Linked DNA regions of Anolis sagrei. The protein of the gene in region 1 purifies or fractionates together with the protein of each later gene. This does not show direct contact. Links are inferred from orthologs where the notes say so. Each region holds a gene or a part of one and is shown in the gene's direction. Other genes may lie near its edges.

Region 1 (7,698 bases):
GAAAATTTATATATTTATATATATATATAAAATTTTATATATATAATTTTATATATATTATTATATATATTTTAACAGGGTGGATATACATGGAGTAAAAGATGGGATAGCTAAGTATTTGTGTATGTATTTGTGTATGTATGTATATATAGAGAGAGAGAGAGAAAGAGAGAGAGAGAGAGAGAGAGGATATTATATGAATCTTTTCACTCTGTTGCAGGGATGTGGCTCATCCAGCCTTCAAAGAATTATGACTAATCTTCAAGAGAAATGGCTTGGCTGTGATGCCGCCTATAATCAGCTTCCCCTCCAAAGTGCCTATTTAAAAACCCATTTATCTCCTAATCTCCCTCTGCAAATTGATTCTGTGCATTCAATTAGGAAATGACATGAATAGTTTTCATGAATAGTTTGGGAAAAGGACAGCAACTCCCATGATGCCCAAAGCAACCCCCCCGATAATGGGAGGTGAAGTCACATATTTTAAGGGGAGAAAGGAGAGGGGACTCACTCGGAGCTGGACTCCCAGAAGAAGGGCTGGTTCATGGCGATGCGCTGCAGTTGGCTCAGGGTCTCGGTCAGTGTGGCGCTGAAGAGCATGGTTTGTCGCCCAGACGGAAGCGCTGCCAGGATGGTCTCCAGGTCTTGGGTGAAGTCAGTGCAGCCCTGTTCCAGCAAACGGTCTGCTTCATCCAGGACCTAAATCCCAATGAGGAAAAAAAGAAGGGATCCTAGAGCGGGATGACCCCAAAAGGTCATCCAGTCCAACCTCTTTCTGTCAGGTAAGAAGGCTCCATCTAAGGCTTCCTAAAAGATGGCCATACCGACTGAATGATAGACTCATAGAGTGGGAAGGGGTCCCCGAAGACCATCCAGTCCAACCCCTTTCTGTCATAGACACCATCCAAGCCCTCCCGACAGATGGCCACCCAGACTCTGCTCAATAATAATAATAATAATAATAATAATAATAATAAAATCCTAAAGTTGGAAGGGATCCCACAAAGGCCATCCAGTCCAACTCGTCTGTCATAAAGGGGGACACCATCAAAGCCCTCCCAACAGAGGGCCATGTAGACTCTGTTTATAGAATCCTAGAGTAGGATGGGACCCCCCAAGGCCAACCAGTTCAACCCCCGCCTTACCAAGACCTTGATCCGTTGAAGGCTGCAGGGGTTGGAGCTGCGGAGGTGGTCGGCCAGGCGCCCTGGGGTGGCGACGACCACGTGGGGCTTGCGGGAGAGTGCCAACGCCTGGGACACCATGTCTGCAAGGAGAGGGAGGGATCACGTCATGTATTCGTGGTGCACTCTCTCAGCTTTTCGGCCCCATATATACGTACCCATGCCGCCCACAACGATGCAGTCCTTCAGGCCCAGTGGCTTCCCTAGGACTCGGAACTGTTCAGCGATCTGGTAGGCCAGCTCCCTATTGGAAACAATAAATCGAGAAGGGAATATACATAATATATCAACACAGTCCATTCTACCACCTAGGAAGACACCATCAAAATCCTCCTGACAGATGGCCATCCAGACTCTGTTCAATAATAACAGCAACAATAATAATATAATCCTCGAGTTAGAAAAGACCTTTTAAAGGGCCATCCAGTCCAACCCCATTCTGCCGTAAAGGAAGACACCATCAAAGCCCTCCTGATAGATGACCACTCAGCACCTGCTTAGTACTAATACTAATAATAGACCTTGTGGGCGTCAGGACGAGGCAGAAGATGCCGTAGGGGTCCTCTGAGAGCCTCTGCAGGACCGGAAGCACAAAGGCAGCCGTCTTCCCACTCCCGGTCTTGGCACAGCCCATGCAGTCACGGCCTGGAAAGAAAGCAAGAACTCTGAACATGTTCTGAGGCAAGATCAGCTCAAAGGAAACCCCCCACCGCTTTGCTAAGGGGTGATTAGGCAAGCCCCAACCTTAGCAGCCTTCAAGAAGGATCTCAAAACTTGGCTTTTCTGTTGCACCTTTGGAGAGTGATCAGATATTTCCTTTTGTTGCTCCTCTCACAATGTTTGTCCTCATATTGCACTCCCCCCCTCCTGTTTGAAAGCCTGTCTCCACTACTCCGTCTCCTATGAGCTTCTCCCATACCAATATTTCTTTTACATCTCTATCTCATCTTGAATTTTATCATTTTATCTCGCACATGTGGGCCGCCCATTGGGATTGACTCTGCATTGTATTATTTTGTATTGTTTTATTGTATTCTTATGTTTTTATTTATTTAATTGTGATGTTTGTTTTGTTGCTCTGGTTTTATTTTGTACTGTTGGGCTTGGCGTCATGTAAGCCACCCCGAGTTTCCTTTGGGGAGATGGTGGAGAGGTATAAATAAAGATTATTATTATTATTATTATTATTCCACTGATTAGATTTAAATGTAGAACAGGGTTCATGGAGAACTAAGTGGAGAAAACACTCTGCCCATGCTCAGGAATCCCTCCCCCAGGCTATTTAGTGGGGAGGGTGATTTAGAGTGGGCATGGTTTTCTGTGAGGGCGTGGCTTGAAGAGCCCCCCCACTGGGGATCAAAGGGAAACTGAGTGGGCGGGGCTTCACGAAGGGCGTGGTTTGGCTGAGAAGGCTTTCTGTGGGGCCGTGGCTTGAACGCCTAATTGCCAAGGGAAACCTGGAGGCGTAGCTTAATGGTTTTTTTTGGTTGTTTTTTTTAAACAGAAGAACGGCCTGCCTCAGGGGAGCGTGCTTGTTCCATCCATGTTCAACATCTACACAAATGACCAGCCACTGCCAGGAGGGACAGAGAGTTTCATCTATGCTGATGATCGTGCCATCACCGCTCAAGCAGGGAGCTTTGAGATGGTTGAAAAGAAGCTATCCGAAGCTCTAGGTGCTCTTACTGCCTATCACAGGGAAAACCAACTGATCCCTAATCCATCTAAAACACAGACATGCGCCTTTCACCTTAAGAACAGACAAGCATCCCGAGCTCTGAAGATCACCTGGGAAAGGAATCCCACTGGAGCATTGCAGTGCACCCAAATACCTGGGAGTCACTCTGGACCGTGCCCTGACCTACAAGAAGCACTGCCTGAACATCAAGCAAAAAGTGGGCGCTAGAAACAATATCATACGAAAGCTGACTGGCACAACCTGGGGATCACAACCAGACACAGTGAAGACCTTGCGCTATGCTACACTGCTGCTGAGTACGCATGCCCAGTGTGGAACACATCTCACCACACTAAAACAGTGGATGTGGCTCGTAATGAGACATGCCGCATTATTACGGGGTGTCTGCGCCCTACACTACTGGAAAAATTACACTGCTTAGCCGGTATTGCACCACCTGACATCTGCCGGGAAGTAGCAGCCAATAGTGAAAGGACCAAGGCAGAGACATCTCCAGCTCATCCCCTGTTTGGGTATCAGCCAGCACGCCAACGACTTAAATCAAGACATAGTTTTCTTAGATCTACAGAGACACTCGCTGGAACACCTCAGCAAGCGAGAGTCCAAAAGTGGCAGGCTCAAACCCAGCACCTCAATCCATGGGTGATACCAGATGAGAGACTCCCCCCTGGGCACACAGAAGACTGGGCAACTTGGAAGGCGCTGAACAAACTGCGCTCTGGCACCACGAGATGCAGAGCCAATCTTAAGAAATGGGGCTACAAAGTGGAATCCACGACATGCGAGTCGAGAAGAGCAAACCACTGACCACCTGCTGCAATGCAACCTACATGCACGATGGAGGACCTTCTTGCGGCAACACCAGAGGCACTCCAAGTGGCCACATACTGGTCAAAGGACATTTAATCAGCTACCAAGTTTGCAAAATCTGTGTTTTTTGTTTTTTTTAAATCTGTGTGTTTGTTTTGTTCTGTTAGAAATGTAATACAATGGTCTGGTTGCTGATGACACGATAAATAAATAGCTTAATGTGTGGGCGTGGCTCGGAGGCTCTTCCAATGAGGGTTAGAGGCAACCGAAGGGGCGTGGCTTGAAGAGCCTCCCAGCAGGACGAAAGGGGGCGTGGCTTGAGGCGTCTGAGGGCGTGGCCTGGTCGAGCGCGCGAGGTCTTACCTTGGAGCGCGGGTGGGATGCAGGCCTCTTGGACGGGAGTAGGCCGCTTGAGGCCCAGTTGCTCCGCTTGCGCCGCCAGCCAAGGCGACAGGCCCAAGGCACGAAAGCCGGCTGCCGCCATCACACTCCGGAGGAAAGAGGAAAAAGGAAGCAATCCCAGAGTGCCACGCGGTGGTGCGCTCTGCGTCATGACGTCACGAACCTGAGTCGGGCTGTATAGGTTGTCATGGCAACGCTGTAGCTTGTGTCCCAGAATGTTCAGCGCGAAGCTTCAGAGCGTCGAACAAATTAGAAATCACAATAACACGAATATTATCATATTTAGTTGTTACCCAATACGAATTGATAGAAATTATAAGAAAAAATTAAAATACTATTATAATTTATAATTATAATATAAAATAATAGAATATATATATATATATATACTTATGATTTCTATTTATTTTTTTCTTCTCTTGATCGCAATCTCACTCCCAGTCTTGTCACTCTAAACTTTTCCTTTCTCTATGTTCACACTCTCTAGCGTCAGCCCTTTTCCTTGCCTTGATTGGTCAAACGGGAGAAGGGGCGGGGCACAGCGAGTGAATGACAGCGCGACGGCCAATCGCCGGCGAGGGAAGTCGGAAGTGGAGACGTGTCAAACCTTCTGAAGGGAAAGCCGGGCCAAGATGGCGACGACGGGGGCAAGCGGCGCTGCGGGCGAAGCCGACGAGCTCTTCGACGTCCGGAACAACTTCTACATCGGGGCCTCGCAGGCCGCCATTAATGAGGCGCAGCGCGTGAAGGTGAGGCGTCTTTTCTGCGAGGAGGAGCGGTTCCAAAAGCGACGAGGCCTCACTGAGCGGATTGGGGCCTGCAATGAATTCTGTCCCTCGGCCGCCTTTTTCGAAATGTATTCACTAGAGTGATAATATGTCTCCCTTTCTTCTCTCCTCAGGCATCCAGCCCTGAGAAAGAAATCGAGAGAGACGTTTTCCTGTTCCGCGCCTATATTGCTCAGGTGAGGTCGAGATATTATATTGTTAGGTTCTTGTGGGTTTTTTCGGGCTATAGGGCCATGTTCTAGAGGCATTTCTCCTGACGTTTCGCCTGCATCTATGGCAAACATCCTCAGAGGTAGTGAGGTCTGTTGGAATTAGGAAAATGGGTTTATATATCTGTGGAATGGCTGGGGTGGGGCAAAGAGCTCTTCTCTGCTGGAGCTAGGTGTGAATGTTTCAACTGACCACCTTCATTAGCATTTGAAGGCCTGCCTGAGCCTGGGAAAATCTTTTGTTGAGAGATGCTTGGATGTCCCTGATTGTTTTCCCTCTGCTGTTTTGCTGTTTTAATTTTAGAGTTTTTTAATACTGGTAGCCAGATTTTGTTCATTTTCATGGTTTCCTCCTTTCTGTTGAAATTGTCCACATGCTTGTGGATTTCAGTGGCTTCTCTGTGTAGCCTGACATGGTGGTTGTTAGAGTGGTCCAGCATTTCTGTGTTCTCAAATAATATGCTGTATCCAGGCTGGTTCATCAGGTGCTCTGCTATGGCTGACTTCTCTGGTTGAAGTAGTCTGCAGTGCCTTTCATGTTCCTTGATGCGTGTCTGGGCGCTGCGTTTGGTGGTCCCTATGTAGACTTGTCCACAGCTGCGTGGTATACGGTAGACTCCTGCAGAGGTGAGAGGATCCCTCTTGTCCTTTGCTGAACGTAGCATTTGTTGGATTTTCTTGGTGGGTCTGTAAGTGGTTTGTATGTTGTGTTTCCTCATCAGCTTCCCTATGCGGTCAGTGGTTCCCTTGATGTATGGCAGGAACACTTTTCCTCTGGGTGGATCTTCATCTTTACTCTCGTGGCTCATTCTTGGTCTTGCAGCTCTTCTGATGTCTGAGGTGGAATATCCATTGGCCTGGAGAGCCCAGTTGAGGTGGTTCAGTTCATCTTGGAGGAGGTGGGGTTCACAGATTCTTTTTGCACGGTCTGCCAAGGCTTTAATTGTGCTTCTTTTTTGACTTGAGTGATGGTTGGAGTTTTTATGTAGATATCTATCTGTGTGTGGGGGTTTTCTGTAGACAGTGTGACCCAATTGTTGATCTGGTTTGCGGATAACTAGGACATCTAGAAAAGGCAGTCTTCCTTCATTTTCTTTTTCCATTGTGAATTGGATTTTTGGGTGGATGCTGTTAAGATGGTCCAGGAACCTGTTGAGTTCTTCTTCTCCATGGCTCCAAATGGTGAAGGTGTCATCCACATATCTGAACCATATAGTGGGTTTTTTGGTTATTATATTATTATATTGTTATTTTTGTATTTATATTATTGTAAAACATATTATGCAGTAGTAATATTATTTATTTATTCATTTATTTATTTTTATCCCGCTGTTCGCGGGGTAAAAATAAATGAATGGTTAAAACAACAGAAATTACATGTCACAAAAAACACAACATCCTCACCCCAAATAAAACAGACACACAAATAACACATTCAGTTGTTGTGTATTTTCCGGGCTGTCCTGCTATGTTCCAGAAGCATTCTCTCCTGACGTTTTGCCTGCATCTATGGCAGGCATCCTTAGAGGTTGTGAGGTTTGTTGGAAACTAGAAAAATGGGGAATGTCCAGGGTGGGAGAAAGAACTCTTGTCTGTTTGAGGTAGGTGTGAATGTTACAAATGGCCACCTTGATTAGCATTTGATGGTCTAGTAGTTTTCAAAGTCTGGATTCTTACTGCCCAGGGGAATCCTTTGTTGGGAGGATTAGCTCAGGATTCCCCCAGGCAGACCTTATTTATTTATTTACTTATGGTGTTTATACCCCCCTCCTTTTCTCAGCCATATGGCAACTCAAGGCGGGTTACAGATAGGCACAGTTTGATGTCAGGCATTCATAAAAGTGTCATTTAAAACAATCAACATTACAATATAAAACATAAATAAAAACCGTTAAATCATTGGTGTCATCTTGTTAAAAACATCCAGTAACATCATCTGCCATTCCATGTTCATCATTCATAGTTCCATGTTATCTGTTCCGCTGCATTCTCAAAAGCTTGCTGAAAGAGCCAGGTCTTTACTTTTTTTTTCAGAGGGGGCCGATCTAATATCCCTGGGGAGAGAGTTCCATAGCCAGGGAGCCACCTCTGAGAAGGCCCTGTCCTTCGTCTCTGCTAATCGCACTTGTGAGGCAGGCGGGACCGAGAGCAGGGCCTCCCCAGATGATATTAAGCTCCTAGATGGTTCATAGGAGTAGATACGTTCGGACATGTAACCTGGGCCGGAATCATTTAGGGCTTTATAGGCTAAAGCCAGCACTTTGAATTGTGCTTGGTAGCAAATTGGCAGCCAGTGGAGCTGACGCAACAGAGATATAGTGTGTTCTCTGAGCACTGCTCCTGTTAGCTCCTATTAGTAACCTGTCTGCCGTTCTTTGGACCATTTGAAGCTTCCAAACAGTCTTCAAAGGCAACCCCACGTAGAGTGCTATGCAGTAATCTATTCGGGATGTAACAAGAGCGTGGACCACCGTGACCAAGTCAGACTTCCCAAGGTACGGGCGCAGCTGGCCTTGAAACTGCTAGGCCATTAAATGCTAATCAAGGTAGCCAGTGGCTACATTCATACCTACCTCAAACAGACAAGAATTCATTCTCCCACCCTG
Region 2 (7,123 bases), on another chromosome or scaffold:
CTAAACGGTTCCGGCCAAGCTACCTATCCGACCGCATCTCTGCCTATGAACCCACCAGGACTTTGAGATCTTCCGGGGAGACCCTGCTCTCGATCCCGCCTGCTTCTCAAGCTCAGCTGGCGGGGACGAGAGATAGGGCCTTCTCGGTGGTGGCTCCTCGGCTGTGGAACGCCCTTCCTACGGACATTAGACTAGCACCATCTCTAATGGTATTCTGCAAAAAAGTGAAGACCTGGCTGTTTGAGCAGGCGTTCGAATAATTAGTGCAATGATTGGTTAATGAACACTGGAATGGAAAAATGGATGACGAATCTGGAACATATTTTTGATGACGAGACGACAGTGAATGGGTCGTGTAATGTGTTAGGTTGTTAACTGTTTCTATACTGTAGCACTGAATTTTTGCTGTTCGTATTTGTTGTGAACCGCTGTGAGTCGCCTTCGGGCTGAGAACAGCGGTATATAAGTAAGGTAAATAAATAAATAAAATAAAAAGGACAAAAACTTTAAAAATGACAAATGCCTTCTTGGGCAAGAAGGCATTCATTCCAAAATGATTCACTATTATCCACAATTTTGCATATCCACAAAATGTCTGGGATTAGACTGTGTGGTGTCATGGTTTGAATGTTGGACTCAGACACTGTGAGATCAGGGTTTGGTCTTGGCTCTATCATGGTAACACAAGGAGGCCTCATCTACACTGCCACAGAATGTGGATTGAACTGGATTATATCAGTGTACCAGTGATTCTCAACCTGGGGGTTGGGACCCCAGGAGGGGTCACGAAGGGGGGTCAGAGGGGTCACCAAAGACCATCAGAAAACACAGTATTTTCTGTGTGGAATGTTTGGCCCAATTTTGATGGTGGGGTTCAGAATGCTCTTTGATTGTAGGTCAGCTATAAATCCCAGCAACTACAACTCCCAAATGACAAAATCACCCCCCCCCCCCAAACTCACCAGTATTCAAATTTGGGCATATAAGCTATTTGTGCCACATTTGGTCCAGTGAATGAAAATACATTCTGCATATCAGATATTTACACTGCGAGCCATAATGGTCGCATAATTACAGTTTTGAAGTAGCAACGAAAATAATGTTACGGATGGGGGTCACCACAACACGAGGAACTGTATTAAGTGGTCATGGCATTAGGAAGGTTGAGAAACACTGGTAGACTCATATATTCCAGTTCAATGAGGTTCAATCTGCATTATGAGACTACATTTACCATTATAATGCTGTTCAAATTGGATTATATGACTGTAGATAATTCAAAGCATGTAATGCCCATTATCTGCTTTGAACTGGATTATAACCGGGATTGTGGCGCAGCTAGCTGAGTGTCAGCTGCATTAAGATCACTCTGACCAAAAGGTCATGAGTTCGAAGCCAGCCCGGGTTGGAGTGGGTTTCCAACCAATTGTGTGTAGCCTGTTGTCAACCTTTGCAACCCGAAAAACAGTTGCATCTGTCAAGTAGGAAAATTAGGTACCACCTTAAAGTGTGGGGAGGCTAAATTAGCTAATTTACGAGGCCACAAAAAAGACTCCAGCAAAGCATTCCAGCAAAAAAGCATGCGGGGAATGCGGAAGTACTTCATCAGTGTCACAGATGGACGATGAAAGCGACAGCTCCCCTGGCAGCCAGAAAAAGTTAAATAGCCTCTGTCTATGTCTGTATATGTTTTATTTCTTTCTTTCTTTTGTGTACTTCTACCCCGCCCTTCTCAACCCCCGAGGGGGGACTCAGGGCGGCTTACAAAATAGTAATACAGATAAGATATAGACAGCAATTAAAAACAGTTATAACAGTTAAGAACAATCAATATATATCACAGTCAATAAAAACAATCTTATGCTCAACGTTCGCAACTCAGAGTCCATAGCTTCATTCCACATTTTCCATTCCTATCAATCGTCATTGTCCTTTATTTATCTGCCAGATTGCCCAAACGCCTGGTCCCAAATCCATGTTTTTAATTTCCTTCTAAAGGAGAGGAGGGATGACGATGATCTAATTTCCCCGGGGAGTGAATTCCATATGTAAGGGGCCACAACCGAGAAGGCCCTGCTCCTCGTCCCCGCCAATCTCACTTGTGATAAAGGCGGGGCTGAGAGCAGGGCCTCCCCGAAAGATCTTAAACTCCGAGGTGGGACGTAGAGGGAGATGCGTTTGGACAGATACGCTGGGCCGGAACCGTATAGGGCAGTGGTTCTCAACCTTCCAAATGCCGCAACCCCTTATTACAGTTCCTCATGTTGTGGTGACCCCCAACCATCAAATTATTTTGTTGCTACTTCATAATTGTAATTTTGCTACTGTTATGAATCGTAATGTAAATATCTGATCTGCAGGATGTATTTTCATTCACTGGACTAAACTTGGCACAAATACCCAATACGCCCAAATTTGACTACTGGCGGGGTTGGAGGGGTTGATTTTGTTATTTGGGAGTTGTAGTTGCGGGGATTTATAGTTCACCTACAATCAAAGTGCATTCTGGACCCCACCAAGTACAGAATTAGTCCAAATGTCTCACACAGAACTCCCATGACCAACAGAAAATACTGTTTTCTGATGGTCTTTGGCGACCCCTCTGACACCCCTTGTGACCCCCCTGGGGGTCCCGACCCCCAGGTTGAGAAACACTGGTATAGGGTTTTGTAGGTCAAAACCAGCACTTTGAATTGTGCTCAGAACTGGATCGGCAGCCAGTGGAGCTGACATAACGGGGTGGTATGCTCCCTGTATGACGCTCCGGTGAGTAATTTCGCTGCCTCCTGCTGGGCTAATTGAAGTTTCCGAACAGTCTTCAAAGGCAACCCCACGAAGAGTGTGTTGTAGTAATCTATCCGGGATGTAACAAGTGCGTGGACCACCGTGGCCAGATCCAACTTCTCAAGGTACGGGCGTAGCTGGCGCACAAGTTTTAATTGTGCAAAAGCTCTCCCGGCCACCGCTGAGACCTGGGGTTCCAGGTTCAGCGATTAGTCCAGGATCACTCCCAAGCTGCGAACCTGCGTCTTCAGGGGAGTGTAACCCCGTCTAACACAGGCTGTAACCCTATGCCCTGTTCGGCCTTACGACTGACTAGTAGGACCTCTGTCTTGTCTGGATTCAATTTCAATTTGTTAGCTCTCATCCATGTTGTAAGTCAAATTGGCATTGAATGTTTGCCATATATGTACACTGTAATCTGCCCTGAGTCCCCTGCGGGGTGAGAAGGGCGGGATATAAATGCTGTAAATAAATAAATAAATATTCCAGTTCAATGAGGTTCAATCTGCATTATGAGTCTACATTTACCATTATAATGCTGTTCAAATTGGATTATATGACTGTAGATAATTCAACGCATGTAAGGCCCATTATCTGCTTTGAACTGGATTATATATAATTGAAAATTCATATAATCCAGTTCAAAGCAGATAATGGGCATTATATCTACACTGACATATAATCCAGTTCAAAGCAGATAATCTGGATTTTATATGGCAGTGTAGAAGGATGTATTGTCGAAGTGTAGAAGGAGTTTAGGAGAAAAATCTGAGGGTTTGGATTTGAAATGTCAAATTCCTATATAACCAGCAAACTGCAAAGCTGTTTTTTATTTTCGGAGAAAAATGGTTATGACCATCCATTTTTCCAAACTGGAACTCCCAGAGAATCTACACTGATGCAACACGATTCATTAAATGAAAATATTAATTTTTCACAGAAGAAAAAAATTTAGCCGAGCCAGCCAGGAGTCGAACCTAGAATCTTCTGATCCGTAGTCAGACGCGTTATCCATTGCGCCACTGGCCCTGCCTGACGACCCCTTTTCCCCAATTGCATTCTACATTCCGCCTGCTACGTTTCTAGTGGCTGGAAACAAAACCAGGGGTGGAGTTCTGAGTGAGGCATTTCTTTTTGCCAAGCCGAGCCAATCAAAACGCTCCTTGCTCTTTCACTCCGTTCCTCGTTGGTGCAAAGAAGAGTTTTCCTTTTTTTGAAGGGGCGGAGTTACCCCAATCCATTCGGCGTCTGAGGGGATGGTTGCGGGAACTTGACGTCACAATAGCGAGACCCCGCCCACGCGCTGCTTCGCTTCCGGGATAGGGCGACATGGTTGCGAGCGTCCGTTTCAGCCAATCCCAAACGCCTTACTCAGCGCGGGCGTCGAAATGCTTTCCGCTTAGTTTTGTCCTGTGTGGGGCGCCGTCCTGAAGGCCCAAGTGGAGGCCGTCAGGTGAGGCGCGAGAAGGAAGGCGGAGTCTCTGAGGCCAAGCTCGAGCCGGTCGGTTGGAGGAGGGAGAGGCGGGGCGGCGGCGGAGATGGCGGCGGCAACCGCAGCGGGGCGAGCCTACGAGAACCTGAAGCTGTGAGTAGCCGAGAAAGGGCGCCAGGAATCCCACCCTTCCCTTCAGGAGGGCCCGGGCTCCCTTCTTCTCTCCCTCGGTTCCCACAAAGGACACCTGCTGTTCGCCTTTGGCCTCCTCTTCGCCCTCCTTGATCCCTCTCCTTCCTCCTTAAGGCTCCAAGGCTCCCCCACGTCACTTTTCCTGTCAAGTGTGTCCTTCCCCATCTGTCTCACTTAACCGAAGAGCTCCCACATTCCATTTGAGTGTGTATATATATATATATATATATATATATATAATAGTATGTTATTATTATTAATAATAATTAATAATCTATATAAATAAAAATGTAATGTTAGTTCGTGCTACCATCAGAACTCAAAAACCACTGGGGGAATTGACACCAAATTTGGACACAAGACACCTAACAGTCCAATGTATGTCCTCCACTCAAAAAAATTGATTTTGTCATTTGGGAATTGTCGTTGCTCGGATTTATAGTTTACCTACAATCAAAGAGCATTCTGAACTCCACCAATGATGGAGTTGGGCCAAACTTAGCACACAGGGCTCCCATGACCAACCGAAAAAACTGGAAGGGTTTGGTGGACATTGACCTTGAGTTTGGGAATTGTAGTTTACCCACATCCAGAGAGCACTGTGGACTCAAACAATGATGGATCTGAACCAAACTTGGCACGAATATTCCATATTTTATTTATTATTATTTATTTATTTCACAGTTTTCTATACCGAGCTTCTCAACCTCATTGAGGGACTCAGCCCGGTTTCCAGCCATAAAAAACATATACACTCATTAAAATATCATATATCACAATTACAAAAACAACTTTAAATACACTATATATAAAACTACAGTGGTCAGTTGTCCTATTAAGATGGATCTACATCAACTTCCATCCAGGGTCCTATGGTGTTGTCTCATTCATCGAAGGCCTGACTCCACAGCCACGTCTTCACCCGTTTCCTAAATGTTAGGATGGATGGGGCGGTTCTGGCCTCCAGAGGGAGAGAGTTCCAGAGTCGCGGGGCCAAATATGAACACAGATGGAGTTTAAGGGAAATAGACCTTGACATTTGGGAGTTGTAGTTGCTGGGATTTATAGTTCACTTACAATCAGAGAGCATTCTGAACTCCACCAGTGATGGAATTGAACCAAACATGGCGTACAGGACTTCCATGACCAACAGAACACACTGGAAGGGTTTGGTGCGCATTGACCTTGAGTTTGGGAGTTGTAGTTCACCTACATCCAGAGAGCACTGTGGACTCAAACAATGATGGATCTGGACCAAACTTGGCACTTGGGATTTGTAGTTGCTGGGATTTATAGTTCACCTACAATCAAAGAGCATTCTGAACTCCACCAATGATGGAATTCAACCAAACATGGCATACAGAACTTCCATGACCAACAGAACACACTGGAAGGATTTGGTGGACATTGACATTAAGTTCCAAAATTCCATATGCCTAAATATAAACACAGATGGAGTTTGGAGGAAATAGATCTTGACATTTGGGATTTGTAGTTACTGGGATTTATAGTTCACTACAATTAAAGAGCATTCTGAAATCCACAGAAATGGGGCAAACTTCCCACACAGAACTCCCATGACCAACAGAAAATATTTAAGGCATCCAGTCCAACTCCCTTCACCAGGGCAAGAAAATGTAATCAGAGCCCTCCTGACAAAGAACCATCCAGTCATAAATATAGATAGATCGATATGATTCTCTCTCTCACACACAGATATAGTATCATAGATTTTAAAGAGACCCTTAAAGAAGGACTATGATATGTTGCATATTCCAGAGTAGGCAAACCAGACACTCTCCACATCAACACTGACAAAGAAACAACAAGCATAAAGGAATTATATATATTAGAAACCAAAACTTTCTCATTACTTTATTTTCCAGATCACCAGACTGGGCCACAGCAACGCGTGGCAGGGGACAGCTAGTAATTAATATATATTAATATAATAATAATATAATTAATATAATATATTAACCCAAACCCCAGCCCCGTTCTCTCTCTTTCTTAATATTTGATCACCCATCTTGGTATTTTTGGCTCGAGAGGCACAACACGCTTAACATTCACCATTATACTTGAAAACATTCCTTTGCCATTATATTTAATACTAGCCGTCCCCTGCCACGCGTTGCTGTGGCCCAGTCTGGTGATCTGGAAAATAAAGTAATGAGAAAGTATTGGTTTCTAATATATGTAATTCCTTTATGCTTGTGAGTAAACAGTATTTCTTGTTGGAGTGACCATCACAGTCATGCAGTCATGCTGGCCACATGACCTTGGAGGTGTCTATGGACAATGCCAGCTCTTTGGCTTCGAAATGAAGATGAGCACCACTCCCCAGAGTTTGACACAACTAGACTTAATGTCAAGGGGAAACTTTTATTAAGTTCTCTTATTTGGCAATATTCCTTGAAGATGTTGTTCCAAAGTTGTAAATGAATGATAGATTGTAATGGAAGCCTAGGATTTTACAATACTTTATAGTATTTTATCACTCAATGGGAATTTTTTGACATTTTAAATTTAATTTAATTTAATGGTAATTTTAATGTCCTACAAGGAAGTATTTATGTAACCAATTTGGGTTATCTTATCTATGTTTTTATTTTATATTCTGTTTTAATGATGTTGTAAGCCGCTTTGAGTCCATTGGAGAAAAGTGGCATAGAAATTCCCTAAATAATAATAACAAGAACAACAACAACAACA

The links. Proteins that work in one complex are often made in the same cells at the same time.
Region 2: the proteins of COPE (region 1) and SACM1L purify together in Homo sapiens (affinity purification with mass spectrometry; 4 studies listed by BioGRID and IntAct, with this or other methods). This does not show direct contact. The link is inferred for Anolis sagrei from reciprocal best matches to the Homo sapiens genes COPE and SACM1L.

What each region holds. Positions count from the first base shown.
Region 1 is NC_090034.1:52,171,491-52,179,188, reverse strand, and holds the start of COPE (coatomer subunit epsilon), read left to right. Parts: upstream 1-4,682; 5' UTR 4,683-4,727; coding exon 4,728-4,844; intron 4,845-4,996; coding exon 4,997-5,059; intron 5,060-7,698. Other genes in the region: probable ATP-dependent RNA helicase DDX49, read right to left, coding at 512-699, 1,146-1,267, 1,343-1,428, 1,706-1,829, 4,057-4,246. UniProt on the Homo sapiens protein: The coatomer is a cytosolic protein complex that binds to dilysine motifs and reversibly associates with Golgi non-clathrin-coated vesicles, which further mediate biosynthetic protein transport from the ER, via the Golgi up to the trans Golgi network.
Region 2 is NC_090026.1:77,910,356-77,917,478, reverse strand, and holds the start of SACM1L (phosphatidylinositol-3-phosphatase SAC1), read left to right. Parts: upstream 1-4,102; 5' UTR 4,103-4,322; coding exon 4,323-4,369; intron 4,370-7,123.